Linked DNA regions of Anolis sagrei. The protein of the gene in region 1 purifies or fractionates together with the protein of each later gene. This does not show direct contact. Links are inferred from orthologs where the notes say so. Each region holds a gene or a part of one and is shown on either strand. Other genes may lie near its edges.

What was found. The genes of interacting proteins can lie anywhere in the genome.
Region 2: the proteins of ADRM1 (region 1) and PSMA4 fractionate together in Homo sapiens (co-fractionation; 3 studies listed by BioGRID, with this or other methods). This does not show direct contact. The link is inferred for Anolis sagrei from reciprocal best matches to the Homo sapiens genes ADRM1 and PSMA4.

The regions. Positions count from the first base shown.
Region 1 is NC_090024.1:232,621,802-232,628,894, forward strand, and holds the start of ADRM1 (proteasomal ubiquitin receptor ADRM1), read left to right. Parts: upstream 1-4,082; 5' UTR 4,083-4,182; intron 4,183-6,985; 5' UTR 6,986-7,093. UniProt on the Homo sapiens protein: Component of the 26S proteasome, a multiprotein complex involved in the ATP-dependent degradation of ubiquitinated proteins.
Region 2 is NC_090029.1:11,848,221-11,855,316, forward strand, and holds the start of PSMA4 (proteasome subunit alpha type-4), read right to left. Parts: upstream 3,035-7,096; 5' UTR 2,947-3,034; intron 1-2,946. Other genes in the region: HYKK (hydroxylysine kinase), read right to left, coding at 5,114-5,562. UniProt on the Homo sapiens protein: Component of the 20S core proteasome complex involved in the proteolytic degradation of most intracellular proteins. This complex plays numerous essential roles within the cell by associating with different regulatory particles.

The sequences.
Region 1 (7,093 bases):
GCTTACCAGGAGCAGCAGTAATTAGGTTTCAAACTAGATTTCCTTTTGCGCCTTTGCCAATTAGTGTTTAATGGGAAACTGGCATCACAGATAGATTCTCTCCATTTGATAGCTCTGTGAAGAGTCGAAAACACAATTACTGACTTTCCTTTTTTTTCATATAGTCAATGAGGTGAGACATTGTTGCTTCCAATGAAGGACTCTGCCTCCAAGATAAACGCAATCTATTAATGCCAAGCATCTAGGACAAGAAACAAAGGCTGTGGTGAAGCACATACTTCTTGCAAAGATTTATATGGCTATCTCTTGATGAGAATATTAAGAGTATTAGAAGTAGGGTGCACCTACACTGTAGAATTAATGCAGATTGACACCACTTGGGTTGCCAGGGCTCAATACTATGGAATCATGTAAACAAAACTGGAATGTACTTAGTCCTAATCTTTTTAAATACTGGTTTTCAACCACTTCATCGAATCATAGAATCATAGAGTTAGAAGAGACCTCATAGGCCATCCAGTCCAACCCCCCTGCCAAGAAGCAGGAAAATAGCATTCAAAGCACCCCTGACAGATGGCCATTCAGCCTCTGTTGAAAAGTCTCCAAAGAAGGATCCTCCACCATACTCCGGGGCAGAGAGTTCCACTGCTGAACGGCTCTCACAGTCAGGAAGTTCTTCCTCATGTTCAGGTGGAATCTCCTTTCCTGTAGTTTGAAGCCATTGTTCCATATCCTAGTCTCCATGGCATCAGGAGACAAGGTTGCTCCCTCCTCCCGATGACTTCCTCTCACATACTTATACATGGCTATCATGTCTCCTCTCAGCCTTCTCTTCTTCAGGCTACACATGCCCAACTCTTTAAGCCGCTCCTCATAGGGCAGTGGTTCTCAACCTGTGGGTCCTCAGGTGTTTTGGCCTACAACTCCCAGAAATCTCAGCTATTAGGATTTCTGGGATCTGAAGGCCAAAACATCTGGGGACCCACAAGTTGAGAACCACTGTTGTAGGGCTTGTTCTCAGACCCTTGTGTTGCAATAGCAGGTACTTCACACAGTCCTAGAAGCTTGGGAAATGTTTGACTTGTGTTTTTTTTTAATACAAAATCCAGCATATAGATCTCTTTTGCTGTGACATACTGGGTTTTTGTGTCATAATAATAATAATAATAATAATAATAATAATAATTCATTGGAACTTGTGCCACAAATACCTTCTGCCTGCAACAAAGAACTGGTGGGATCACTAGCCAGAAAAAGTTACAGAGAATGAACATGCCAAACTCTTCTGCGACTTCCAAATTCAGACAGACAGAGTTCTGGAGCACAACACTCCTGACCTCACAATCGTGTTAAAAAACAAAGTATGGATTGTCGATGTTACAATCCCAGGTGACAGCAGGATTGAAGAGAAACAACTGGAAAAGCTGACACGATATGAGGATTTAAAGATCAAACTGCAAAGACTGTGACACAAGCTAGTCAAGGTGGTCCCAGTGGTGATCGGTACACTGGGTGCAGTGCCTAAAGACCTTGGCCTGCACTTAAACACAATTGGCACTGACAAAATTACCATCTGCCAGCTGCAAAAGGCCACCTTACTGGGATCTGCACGCTTACTGGGATCTGCACGGCTCCGGTCCAGCGTACCTGTCTGACCGTATCTCTTCCTACGTCCCACCTTGGAGCTTAAGATCTTCTGGGGAGGCCCTGCTCTCGGCCCCGCCTTTGTATCAAACATGTTTGGCGGGGATGAGGGTCAGGGCCTTATCGGTGGTAGCCCCCCGCCTGTGGAATTTGCTTTCCGGGGAAATTAGGTCATCGTCATCCCTCTTTACCTTTAGAAAGAAGGTAAAAACGTGGTTGTGGGACCAGGCCTTTGGGCAATTAGGTTAAAGGACAATTGATAATGTTTGACTATGGCTTGGAAGTCAATTTAGATAAGTTAAGTGGAGTAATCATTAGTATATGGCTAGATAAATAGCCACCAGACTGGCAATAGCTAAATGGATCGTAAGTATACAGTTTAATCTTTATTAATGTTTATGTTTTAATTGTTATATTTGCTATTTTGTATTTTATGATGCGGCATTGAATTATTGCCAATTGGAAGCCGCCCTGAGTCCCCCTAGGGGTTGAGAAGGGAGGGGTAAAAATGTTTGAAATAAATAAAATAAATTATTCGCCGATACATCACACAGCGCTAGACACTTGGGAAGTGTCCGATGTGTGATCCAATTCAACAGCCAGCAGAGTGTCTGCTGTGGACTCATCTTGTGTTTCAAATAAATAATAATAATAATAGTAATAATAATAATAATAGTCCACGGTAGTCCACGCTCTGGTTACATCCCGCTTAGATTACTGCAACGCTCTCTACGTGGGGTTGCCCTTGAAGACGACCCGGAAGCTCCAATTGGTCCAACGTGCGGCAGCCATGTTACTAACAGGAGCGGAACGCAGGGAGCACACAACGCCCTTGTTGTACCAGCTCCACCGGCTGCCGATTTGCTACCGGGCTCAATTCAAGGTGCTGGCTTTGGCCTATAAAGCCCTAAACGGTTCCGGCCCAAGATACCTATCTGACCGCATCTCGGCCTACGAGCCCACAAGAACTTTGAGATCGTCCGGGGAGGCCGTGCTCTCGATCCCGCCTGCCTCACAGATGTGCCTGGTGGGGAGGAGAGACAGGGCCTTCTCGGTGGTGGCTCCTCGGCTGTGGACATCAGACTGGCTCCTTCCCTGATGATATTCCGCAGGAAATTAAAGACCTGGCTGTTCAAGAAGGCGTTCGAACAAGAAGTGCAATAATTGGTAATGACGACAGGAATGGAACAACGGAAAATGATACCGGATTGTAGTTTGGACGATGAGACGACGCGGAATGGTTTTTGTAGAAATGATGCTACTGTTTTTTGTATAATGTTGTGAATTGTTTTTTTTATCGTGCTTTGAATATTGTTGCTTTCATGTTTTACACCGCTGCGAGTCACCCTCGGGCTGAGAACAGCGGTCTATAAATAAAGTAAATAAATAAATTTACAGCCATGATTTTAACAGGAGCGGAGCGCAGGGAGCATACAACCCCCCTGTTGTGCCAACTCCACTGGCTACCGATCTGCTACCGGGTTGAATTCAAAGTGCTGACGTTGGCCTTTAAAGCCCTAAACGGTTCCGGCCCAAGCTACCTATCTGACCACATCTCTGCCTATGAACCCACCAGGACTTTGAGATCTTCCGGGGAGACCCTGCTCTCGATCCCGCCTGCTTCTCAAGCTCGGCTGGTGGGGACGAGAGATAGGGCTTTCTCAGTGGTGGCTCCTCGGCTGTGGAACGCCCTTCCTACGGACATTAGACTAGCACCATATCTAATAGTATTCCGCAAAAAGGTGAAGACCTGGATGTTTGTGCAGGCGTTTGAGTAATTTAGTGCAATCTGGTAATGGAACATAGGAATGGAACAATGGATGACGAACCTGGACTACGCTTGGATGATGAGAAGATTGGGTACGGTTGTTTTTTGTAATAATTGTGCATTGTAATTGCTTATTGGTAATTTAAGTTAAGTCAATTGTTATATGTTGTATGGAACCACTGCTGTTTCTACTGTTTTTACTGTTTGTGAACCGCTGTGAGTCGCCTTCGGGCTTGAGATACAGCGGTATATAAGCAAAGTAAATAAAATAAATAAATAAATAAATAATAGCCTGAATGCAATTTTATGCAACATTTTAAATAATGTGCATGAAACAAAGTTTGTATACACTGAACAATTAGCAAGCAAATGTCTCCTTCTTCCTGCCAGCCAAGTGGGCAATATTCTGCAAATAAAGGTGTATTATATTCAGCTGCAATTTCCCCTGGGCATGGGTGAAGTCATAACCAGGGTGATGACGCAATGCCCTTGCGATTCCCACGGCGGCCGCTAGAGGCCGCGCGCTCCTCCTTTTTCCCTCCTTGCCGGCGTGACACAGCACAATAGAGGCAGCGCGGTGCATGCCGGTCGCGCCTGGACAGCTCGGCCTCGCGCCGGGGCTTGAATGACAGGAGTGAAGGAGAGCTCGCCGACCAATCAGAGAGGAGGAGGACGGGAGGGGCGGGTTTCCGGTTTGGCCAGAGGGAAGCGGAAGGAAGGAGCGAGCGAGGCAGATTTTGGAAAGGGCTCTGAGGAGAGAGAAGCTGAAGGTAAGGCGGAGGAGAGGAAGGGAGGATGTCAGGATCGGGGAAGAAGGCGTGAGGGCCGCGTCAGGCCTTTCCCCATGCCTTCGTGCTTCTCCGCCACGATCTTCTCCCTCTCATCCCCCCTTTTCCCTCTTGTGGCCACTGAGCATGCGCAGTTCAGTCATCGGGCTTCTCTTTGTATTTAAAGGGCCAGTACAGACATTCGTGGCCAATATGGTTGCAGTCTTTTGGATGAAGGTTATATCTAGTTACTAGCCGTCCCCTGCCACGCGTTGCTGTGGCCCACATGGGGGTTCTGTGTGAGAGGTTTGGCCCAATTCTATCGTTGGTGGGTTTCAGAATGCTCTGTGATTGTAGGTGAACTATAAATCCCAGCAACTACAACTCCCAAATGTAAAGATTCTATTTCCCCCAAATTCCACCAGTGTTCACATCTGGGCATATTGAGTATTTGTGTAGACTTTGGCCCAGATCCATCATTGTTTGAGTCCACAGTGATCTCTGGATGTAGGTGAACTACAACTCCAAAACCAAAGGACACTGCCCACCAAACCCTTCCAGTATTTTCTGTTGGTCATGGGAGAACTGTGTGCCAAGTTTGGTTCAATTCCATCGTTGGTAGAGTTAAGAATGCTCTTTGATTGTGGGTGAACTATAAATCCCAGCAACTACAGCTCCCAAAAGACAAAATCATTTTTTTGAGTGAAGGACATGCATTGGGTTGTTAGGTGTCTTGTGTCTAAATTTGGTGTCAATTCGTCCAGTGGTTTTTGAGTTCTGTTAATCCTACAAACGAATGTTACATTTTAATTTATATAGATAGCTAGATTCTATATCTGTTTGTGTAAATATATGTATCCATGTTTGTGTGTGTATACAGCAGGCCTGGGCAAACTTGGGCCCTCCAGGTGTTTTGGACTCCCAACTCCCACAATTCCTAACGCTGTTAGGAATTGTGGGAGTTGGGAGTCCAAAACACCTGGAGGGCCCAAGTTTGCCCAGGCCTGTTCCACACTGTAGATACAAATCAAATTGTGTGAAACAAATAGTTGCAAACACAATGATAAACCATCCTATAAAACACATTTCAACAACATTAGTAAAGGGGAAATTTAAAAGGAGTTTTCATAAACCATTCCATATTTCACTGTTCCAACACATGATGGTGACTGAACTGAACTGTGTCAGGACAAAACTTTATACTCCCGCCTCTCGAATGAGACCACTAGCGCTTCGCTACGTCTTCAACTGACTGAATTGCACGCATTTTAAAAAAGGAAGTTATGCTGCCTCACCTTTTACATTAGTAAAGGGAAATTTAAAAACCGTTTCCATACACCATAAGGCCATGTATTCAGTCACTCATTTCACCATAGGCTTGGGAACATAGGGAGGTTTTCAGTCGTTTTCTGAAAGAGGGCAACAATGGGGTCATTCTGATGTCTTTCGGGAGAGAATTCTAGAAAGGTGTGGAAAGCATCTAATAATACCTTTGAGACTGGTTTCTATTACCTTGCGCTTTCATCACTTTCAAGACATTTCAGATGCTCTGTTGGAAGTACTCAGTTAAAGATTTAAATACCCATGACATTAATTTTGCACACCTATTAGTGCCTCTGAAGAAGTGATTGTAATCCATGAAAATTCAAGCTAAATCAGGCTCAAAGATGCTTCTAGATTCTACTCCTTTTTGTGTTTTTCTACACAGCTACAGGGTGAGGCAGCATAACTTTGTTTTTTGAAAACTTAATAAAACCCAGTGTATGAATCATAATTTTTTATTATTTTTTATAATGTAGGTGCATACTTAAAGTTTTGTTTTACGGGGTTTTGAAGATCAAATTAGGTAGGTGATGTCCCCCATTCTCCATATACTGAGTAAACCGATTTCTGGTGTTTGTCATGACTCTTGCCAGCATAGCAGGCATTATGTTGGCAATTTCTTCCTGGATGTTGATCTTCAAATCTTGTAGGTTCCTTGGACGGTTCACATAAACACAGGATTAAAAAAATGGAGAAAATTTCCTTTTTGGGAGTCTGCTGGAGCACTCATTCTCTCTAGAATAGTGGCATTCAGAGTTATGATCTTTTTCTAGGAGAGAAGGAAACAGTTACGGGCAGTGGTCACAAATATCATGCCAATCCCTCACACACTGAGTGGAAAACTCCCTGTTATCTCCCTACATCATATTGTGCAATGAGCATTGTTCTAAACCAGGCCTGCACAAGCTATGGCCCTCCAGGTGTTTGAGACTCCAACTCCCAGAAGCCTTAGACAGCATGTCCAATGAATTCTTGGAGCTGAAGTCCAAAACACCTGGAGGGTTAGCTATAGGTTGTGAGTAGCTGTTTTAGACTGAAAAGCTTTATTTTAATGTGGTAGGATTTTTTTAATATAAAGTAAACTTCTATTCTTGATAAAATGTTTCTGAAAATACATTTTTGGAGTCACAGTCTTCTAATATTTGGCAACGTTCCCACCCCTGATTCAAACACACCGATCTGAATTATGTTTTCCCTTTATGCATGAATTATCAAACATGAGCAAAACGTCTTTTTATAATGGAATTTACTCACTGTAGACTTTTGATTGACTTGCCATGAGTTCACTGAGAGAAAGAGAACAATATTGGGCTTATAAAGAGAAACAACTGGAGAAGTAATACTTTCCTGATGAATTTTCCACCTTCTGTTTTTTCTTCTGTTTTCTCTGCACAACTCTTGCATCACTCATTCTTACTCAAGAGATCATTTGATATGCCCCAGATCACTGGCATCATAAAAATGCTTTGTGTCATGGTCTTAGGTGACTGGAGAGCTCTTGGCTTTTGGAGTCAGAATATATTTGAGGGAGCTGTGCTGTAACCAGCAAAAATAGATGATATTTGAGACCATGGAGTAGCAGTAAGATGAC
Region 2 (7,096 bases), on another chromosome or scaffold:
TTTTTTCGGGCTATATGGCCATGTTCTAGAGGCATTCTCTCCTGATGTTTCGCCTGCATCTATGGGTGGTGACAGTCTTGTTGAGAAGGAGACGACTTCCTAGTAACTGAATTCCCAAACCTGGGTGAACATTGCTCTGAGAAGACTTGTAAACAATTGGACTTTCTACCTCTGAAGTGTGATGCATGTGAAGATGTCTTCTGTAAAGACCACTTTGAACGGACAAGCATCCTGAGCTCTGAGGATTACCTGGGAAGGAATCCCACTGGAGCATTGCAACACACCCAAATCCCTGGGAGTAATCTGGACCGTGCTCTGACCTACAAGAAGCACTGCTTAAACATCAAGCAAAAAGTGGGTGCTAGAAATAATATAATACGAAAGCTGACTGGCATAACCTGGGGATCACAACCAGACACAGTGAAGGCATCTGCCCTTGCGCTGTGCTACTCTGCTGCGGAGTATGCATGCCCAGTGTGGAACACATCTCACCACGCTAAAACAGTGGATGTGGCTCTTAATGAGACATGCCACATTATCACGGGGTGTCTGCGCCCTACACCACTGGAGAAACTACACTGTTTAGCCGGTATTGCACCACCTGACATCCGCTGGGAAGTAGCAGCCAATAGTGAAAGGACCAAGTCAATGACATCTCCAGCTCATCCCTTGTTTGGGTATCAGCCAGCACGTCAACAAATTAAATCAAGAAATAGTTTTCTTAGATCTACAGAGACACTTGCTGGAACACCTCAGCAAGCGAGAGTCCAAAAATGGCAGGCTCAAACCCAATGGCTAATACCCATTGAGAGACTCCCTCCTGGGCACACAGAAGACTGGGCGAGTTGGAAGGCGCTGAACAGACTGCGTTCTGGCACCACGAGATGCAGAGCCAACCTCAAGAAATGGGTCTACAAAGTGGAATCCACGACACGCGTGTGTGGAGAAGAGCAAACCACTGACCACCTGCTGCAATGCAACCTGAGCCCAGCCACATGCACAATGGAGGACCTCCTTGCGGCGACACCAGAGGCACTCCAAGTGGCCAGATACTGGTCAAAGGACATTTAATCAACTACCAAGCTTGCAAACTCTGTGTTTTGTCTGTTTGTTTATTTGTTTTTGTTAAAAATGTAATACAACTGTCTGTTTGCTGATGACACGGTAAATAAATAACCCCCATCTATTTCAGGCATCCTCAGAAGTTGTGAGGTCTGTTGGAAACTAGGGAAATTGGGTTTATATATCTGTGGAATGATGTCCAGAGTGGGAGAAAGAACTCTTGTCTGTTGGAAGGGAGTGTAAATGTTGCAATTGGCCACCTTGATTAGCATTGCCAAGCCTTGTAGCTTCAAGGCCTGCCTGACTCCTGCCTGAAGGAATCCTTTGTTGGGAGGTGTCAGCATATTATTTGAGAACAAGGAAATGCGGGACCACTCTCAGAACCACTGGCCACCTGCTGCAATGCACCCTGAGCCCTGCCACATGCACAATGGAGGACCTTCTTGCGGCAACACCAGAGGCACTCCAAGTGGCCAGATACTGGTCAAAGAACATCTAATCAACTACCAAGCTTGCAAACTTTATTTATTTATTTACTTACTTACTTTATTTGTATACCGCACTATCTCAGCCCGTAGGCGACTCAGTGCGGTTTACAACAGGTCAATATACAAAGTGCAAAGCATTAGCATTAACATTTAAACAATAACTAAAGCAACTAAAACAATACAACGACACATCAGTAAATCAACATGACATCAATACATCCATATAACTAATCCAACTCACTGCTCACTGGAAGGAAGGATACTAGAGACAAAGTTGAAGTACTTTGGCCACATCATGAGGAGACAGCAAAGCCTAGAGAAGACAATGATGCTGGGGAAAGTGGAAGACAAAAGGAAGAGGGGCCGACCAAGAGCAAGATGGATGGATGGCATCCTTGAAGTGACTGGACTGACCTTGAAGGAGCTGGGGGTGGTAACGGCCAACAGGGAGCTCTGGCGTGGGCTGGTCCATGAGGTCACGAAGAGTCGGAGACGACTGAACGAATGAACAACAACAACAAATCCAACACGTCTCATCAGTAAAGTCATAATCCGATCTCCTCGTCCATTATTCCAAGTTCCAAATTCCAAGTTCCAAACTCAGTCAATTGATTGCACTACTTAATTGAATGCCTGTTCAAAGAGCCAGGTCTTCACTCTTCTCCTGAACGCCAGCAGGGAGGGGGCCGATCTAACGTCTGCGGAAAGGGCGTTCCACAGCTAAGGGGCCACCACTGAGAAGGCCTTGTCTCTCGTCCCCGTCAGCCGTGCTTAATGTCCTAACTGGTTCATAGGGGGTGATGCGTTCGGACAGATAGGTCGGGCCAGAACCGTTTAGGGCTTTAAAAGCTAAAGCCAGCACTTTGAATTGTGCCCGGTAGCAAATTGGCAGCCAGTGGAGCTGGCGCAACAGAGGAGTTGTATGCTCCCTGAGTGCCGCTCCTGTTAGCATCCTGGCTGCCGATCGTTGGACCATTTGTAGCTTCCGAGCCGTCTTCAAAGGCAACCCCACGTAGAGAGCGTTGCAGTAATCTATACGGGATGTAACCAGTGCGTGGACTACCGTGGCCAAGTCAGGGTTTTGTCTTTGTGTTTTGTCTGCCTGTTTGTTTGTTTTGTTCTGTTAGAAATGTAATACAATTGACTGGTTGCCCTGACACGAGAAATAACTAAATAAGGCCTCATTTGGCCCAGGCCTTTTCCAGAGAGTGACAGCCTTGCCGAGTCATCCTCGCCCCAAGAATCCTCCTCGCCCGACGGAGAAGACAGAGAAGGGCTGAAGAGGCACGAACAGGGACACGGAAGATCCTCGAAGGTCCCGGGCTCAGGCTGCCTCGCAAGAAAGGCCGACTAGGCCCCAAAAGCCCCCTTTCCCTCCCTCAGAAGTAACACTTACCCTCAGTTCCGCCTCAGCCGGTATCCAAAATGGCCGCCACTCCCCGCGCAAGCGCACTGCGCTAACTATAGAGAGGGGGCGTGGCTTCGGACAGAGCGTTCGTTCCTCGGAAGTTCCCATTGGCCCGCTACGTTACTTCAGACCGGACTTCCGTGTCGCCAGAAACGCCATGATGAGTGTGGGCATTTGAGATCATCCTTCCCATCTAAAGTGCATCAGATCTTGCCAGCAAGGAATCAAAGCTGCAGTAGGCTGGATCCCATGTATTTCTGCAGTTTCATAGATTCCATGTATTTTAATTTATTTTCACTCTTTCTAATCTTGTGTTTTGATCCCATTTCAATATTTATATTTACACATTTTAATTTTAATTAATTTTATGCTTAATAATTTGTAGTTATGTAGTTTCATAGATTCCATGTATTTATGTATTTTAATTTATTTTCTCTCTTTTTAATCCTGTGTTTTAATCCCATTTCAATGTTTATATTTGCACATTTTAATTATAATTAATTTTATGCTTAATAATGTGTAGTTATGTAGTTTCAAATATTCCATATATTTATATATTTTAATTTATTTTCTCTCTTTTTAATCCTATATTTTAATCCCATTTCAATGTTTATATTTAGACATTTAAATTTTGTGCTTAATAATTTGTAGTTATGTAGTTTCAGATTCCATGTATTTGTGTATTTTAATTTATTTTCACTCTTTTTAATCCTGTGTTTTTATCCCATTTCAATGTTTATATTTACACATTTTAATTTTAATTAATTTTATGCTTAATATTTGTAATGTAGTTTCATATAATCTATGTATTTGTGTATTTTAAATTATTTTCTCTCTTTTTAATCCTATATTTTAATACCATTTCAATGTTTATATTTACACATTTTAATTCTAATTAAATTTTTTTGGAATATGTTTATTTAGAAGATATTGCTCTTAGAGGAGCTGATAGAAGAGAAATGTATTAGTGCAAAGAGACAATACAAACAAACATACGAACGAATAAACAGACATACGACTGAATACAATACAATGATTAATCAATAACAACACTTACCAACACCAACAATTATTCCCCGAGTAAATTTTAAAATACTTCCAGGTTTTGCTGGTCAGGCACCGGGGAGTAAACTATACTTTAATCCCCTTTTCTTTTCTGTTATCTATATTAGTAATGGTGTAATCGCCAGTTTCCTATTACTTTACCTTCAAGTTTCATTAATGTATAGTACTAATATATATCTCATTATATAGCCCTTTTATGCAATACAGAAAGCCCTCCCAGTTAGTCCTAGGGGGTTTTGCTATGCTCTGCGAGATTTTATGGGTGAGGATGTCCATATTCATAATATCCCATATTTTCAGTAACCATTGCTCCACAGTTGGTGCCTCCTTGGATTTCCATATTCTAGCTACCACTATTCTTGCAGCAGTGGTGAAGTAAAAAAAAAAAAGCTTTTCTGTGTTCTTATCCTTAATGGAGTCAATTCTAATTAATTTTATGTTTAATAATTTGTAGTTATATAGTTTCATAGATTCCATGTATTTGTGTATTTTAATTTATTTTCACTCTTTCTAATCCTATGTTTTAATACCATTTCAATGTTTATATTTACACATTTTAATTCTAATTAATTTTATGTTTAAAAATTTGTAGTTATGTCACTTCTCAACAAAAGTTTGCTCCAGGCACTGCCAGGCCATCAAATGCTAATCAAGGTGATCAGTTGAAACATTCACACCTAGCTCCAGCAGACAAGAGTCCTTTGTCCCACCCTGGTCATTCCACAGATATATAAACCCATTTTCCTAGTTCCAACAGACCTCACTACCTCTGAGGATGCTTGCCATAGATGCAGGCGAAACGTCAGGAGAGAATGCCTCTAGACCATGGCCATATAGCCCGAAAAAACCTACAAGAACCCAATAATAATAATAATAATAATAATAATTCTTTATTATTTACACAACAGGATTAGTACACAGCAAACAAGAACACTGTTGGCTTTTGTATTGGATCCCACGTCGAACACTTCCCAAGTTTCTAGGTCTGTGTGATGTTTTCATTCATTCATGGCCATAGATTACAATCCCAAGAATGCCCAGGAAATTTATTGCAAATCAGGTCCGCAACTACAGGCTTGTGAAAGTCAATTCAGGTATCGTAAGCCTTTGCGGTCTCAAACCAGATCTTCTCAACGGCCTCTTGGCCCATCTCAGAGAGAGTCATCAGGTGCTTCCACCCCGTCTTGGCCGTGATCATCAAATAGTCCTTATTCTCAGGGTGCTGGAGACTGGTGTGGGCCGCCATCACAAGGGACTGGACGAATCTCCCGCTGACCAGCAGGAAAAGGGCGGCCCGTTCCTCCGGGGTCAAAGGCACCACGCTCTCGAATCCGGCCAAGACGTGGCCTCCCACGCGGATGGGATCCTGGCTTTCGATCATCATGTACATGATGGCGATGGCCACTTCGAAGACGAAATAGCCATAACTCATGTCGCAGAAGTCCAAAATCCCCGACACTCTGTATCTTGGCTTTCCAGGGGAAGAGGAATCGGCTTCTATTAAAATATTGTGGTCGTTGAGGTCACCGTGATTGATGCCTAAAGGAACGAGAAGGAAAACCCAGGTAGAAAATTCATTGATTTGCAAAAGTAGAGGTCGATAAAGGTGGTTTGGGATTGCTTTAGAGTTGCAATGAAGTGCTCAAGTGGTTTTCGTGACTGATAGGAATATATTATTATATTTATTATATTTATCTATAATAATTGCCCAAGTGGTTTTCATGACCACTTGGGGTCATGAGGATTTAATAATAATAATAATAATCATCATCATCATCATCATCATCATCATATCCCAAGTGGTTTTCATGACTGAGTGGGGATTTAATAATAATAATAATAATAATAATAATAATAATAATAATTGCCCAAGTGGTTTTCATGATATTACTGAGTGAGGATTTAATAATCATCATCATCATCATATCCCAAGTTGACTTTCATGACTGAGTGGGGATTTAATACTAATAATAACAATAATGATTGCCCAAGTGGTTTTAATGACATTACTGAGTGGGGATTTAATAATAATCATAATCATAATAATCTTAATCATTATCATCATAATATCCCAAGTGGTTTCATGATTGGGGATTTAATAATAATAATAATAATAATAATTGCCCAAGTGGTTTTCATGACATTACTGAGAATGTAATAATAATAATCATCATCATCATCATCATATCCCAAGTGGTTTTCATAACTGAGTGGGGATTTAATAATAATAATCATCATCATCATATCCCAAGTGGTTTTCATGACATTACTGAGTGGGGATTTAATAATAATAATAATAATAATAATAATAATATAATTGCCCAAGTGGTTTTCACGACATTACTGAGTGGAGATTTAATAATAATCATCATCATCATCATATCCCAAGTGGTTTTCATGACTGGGGATTTAAAAATAATAATAATAATAATAATAGCCCAAGTGGTTTTAATGACATTACTGAGTGGGGATTTAATAATAATAATAATAATCACCATCATCATCCTATCCCAAGTGGTTTTCATGACTGAGTGGGGATTTAATAATAATGATAATAATAATAATAATAATAATAATAATAATAATTGCCCAAGTGGTTTTCATGACATTACTGAGTGGGAATTTAATAATCATCATCATATCCCAAGTGGTTTTCATGACTGAGTGGGAATTTAATAATAATAATAACAACAACAAAAATAATAATAGCCCAAGTGGTTTTCATGACTGAGTGAGGATTTTAATAATAACAAGAATATCAACAATAATTTTCAAACTGTACTTAATGTAATACCGTTTTACTGTATTACAAAAACAGTTTTATTAATGCAAATTTAGTTAAATAGCAGTTAAAATAGATTTTATTCCAATTTTATTTGAAGTACTTAAGATTATTATTGCTTGGATATATTTTTGGATGCATCTACACCAGGTGCAGGCAAACTTCAGCCTTCCCGGTGTTAACATTCCTACCGGCTGTTAGGAATTGTGGGAGTTGAAGTCCAAAACACCGGGAGGGCCGAAGTTTGCCCAGGCCTGATCTCCATTATGGAATGAATGCAATTTGACAAGG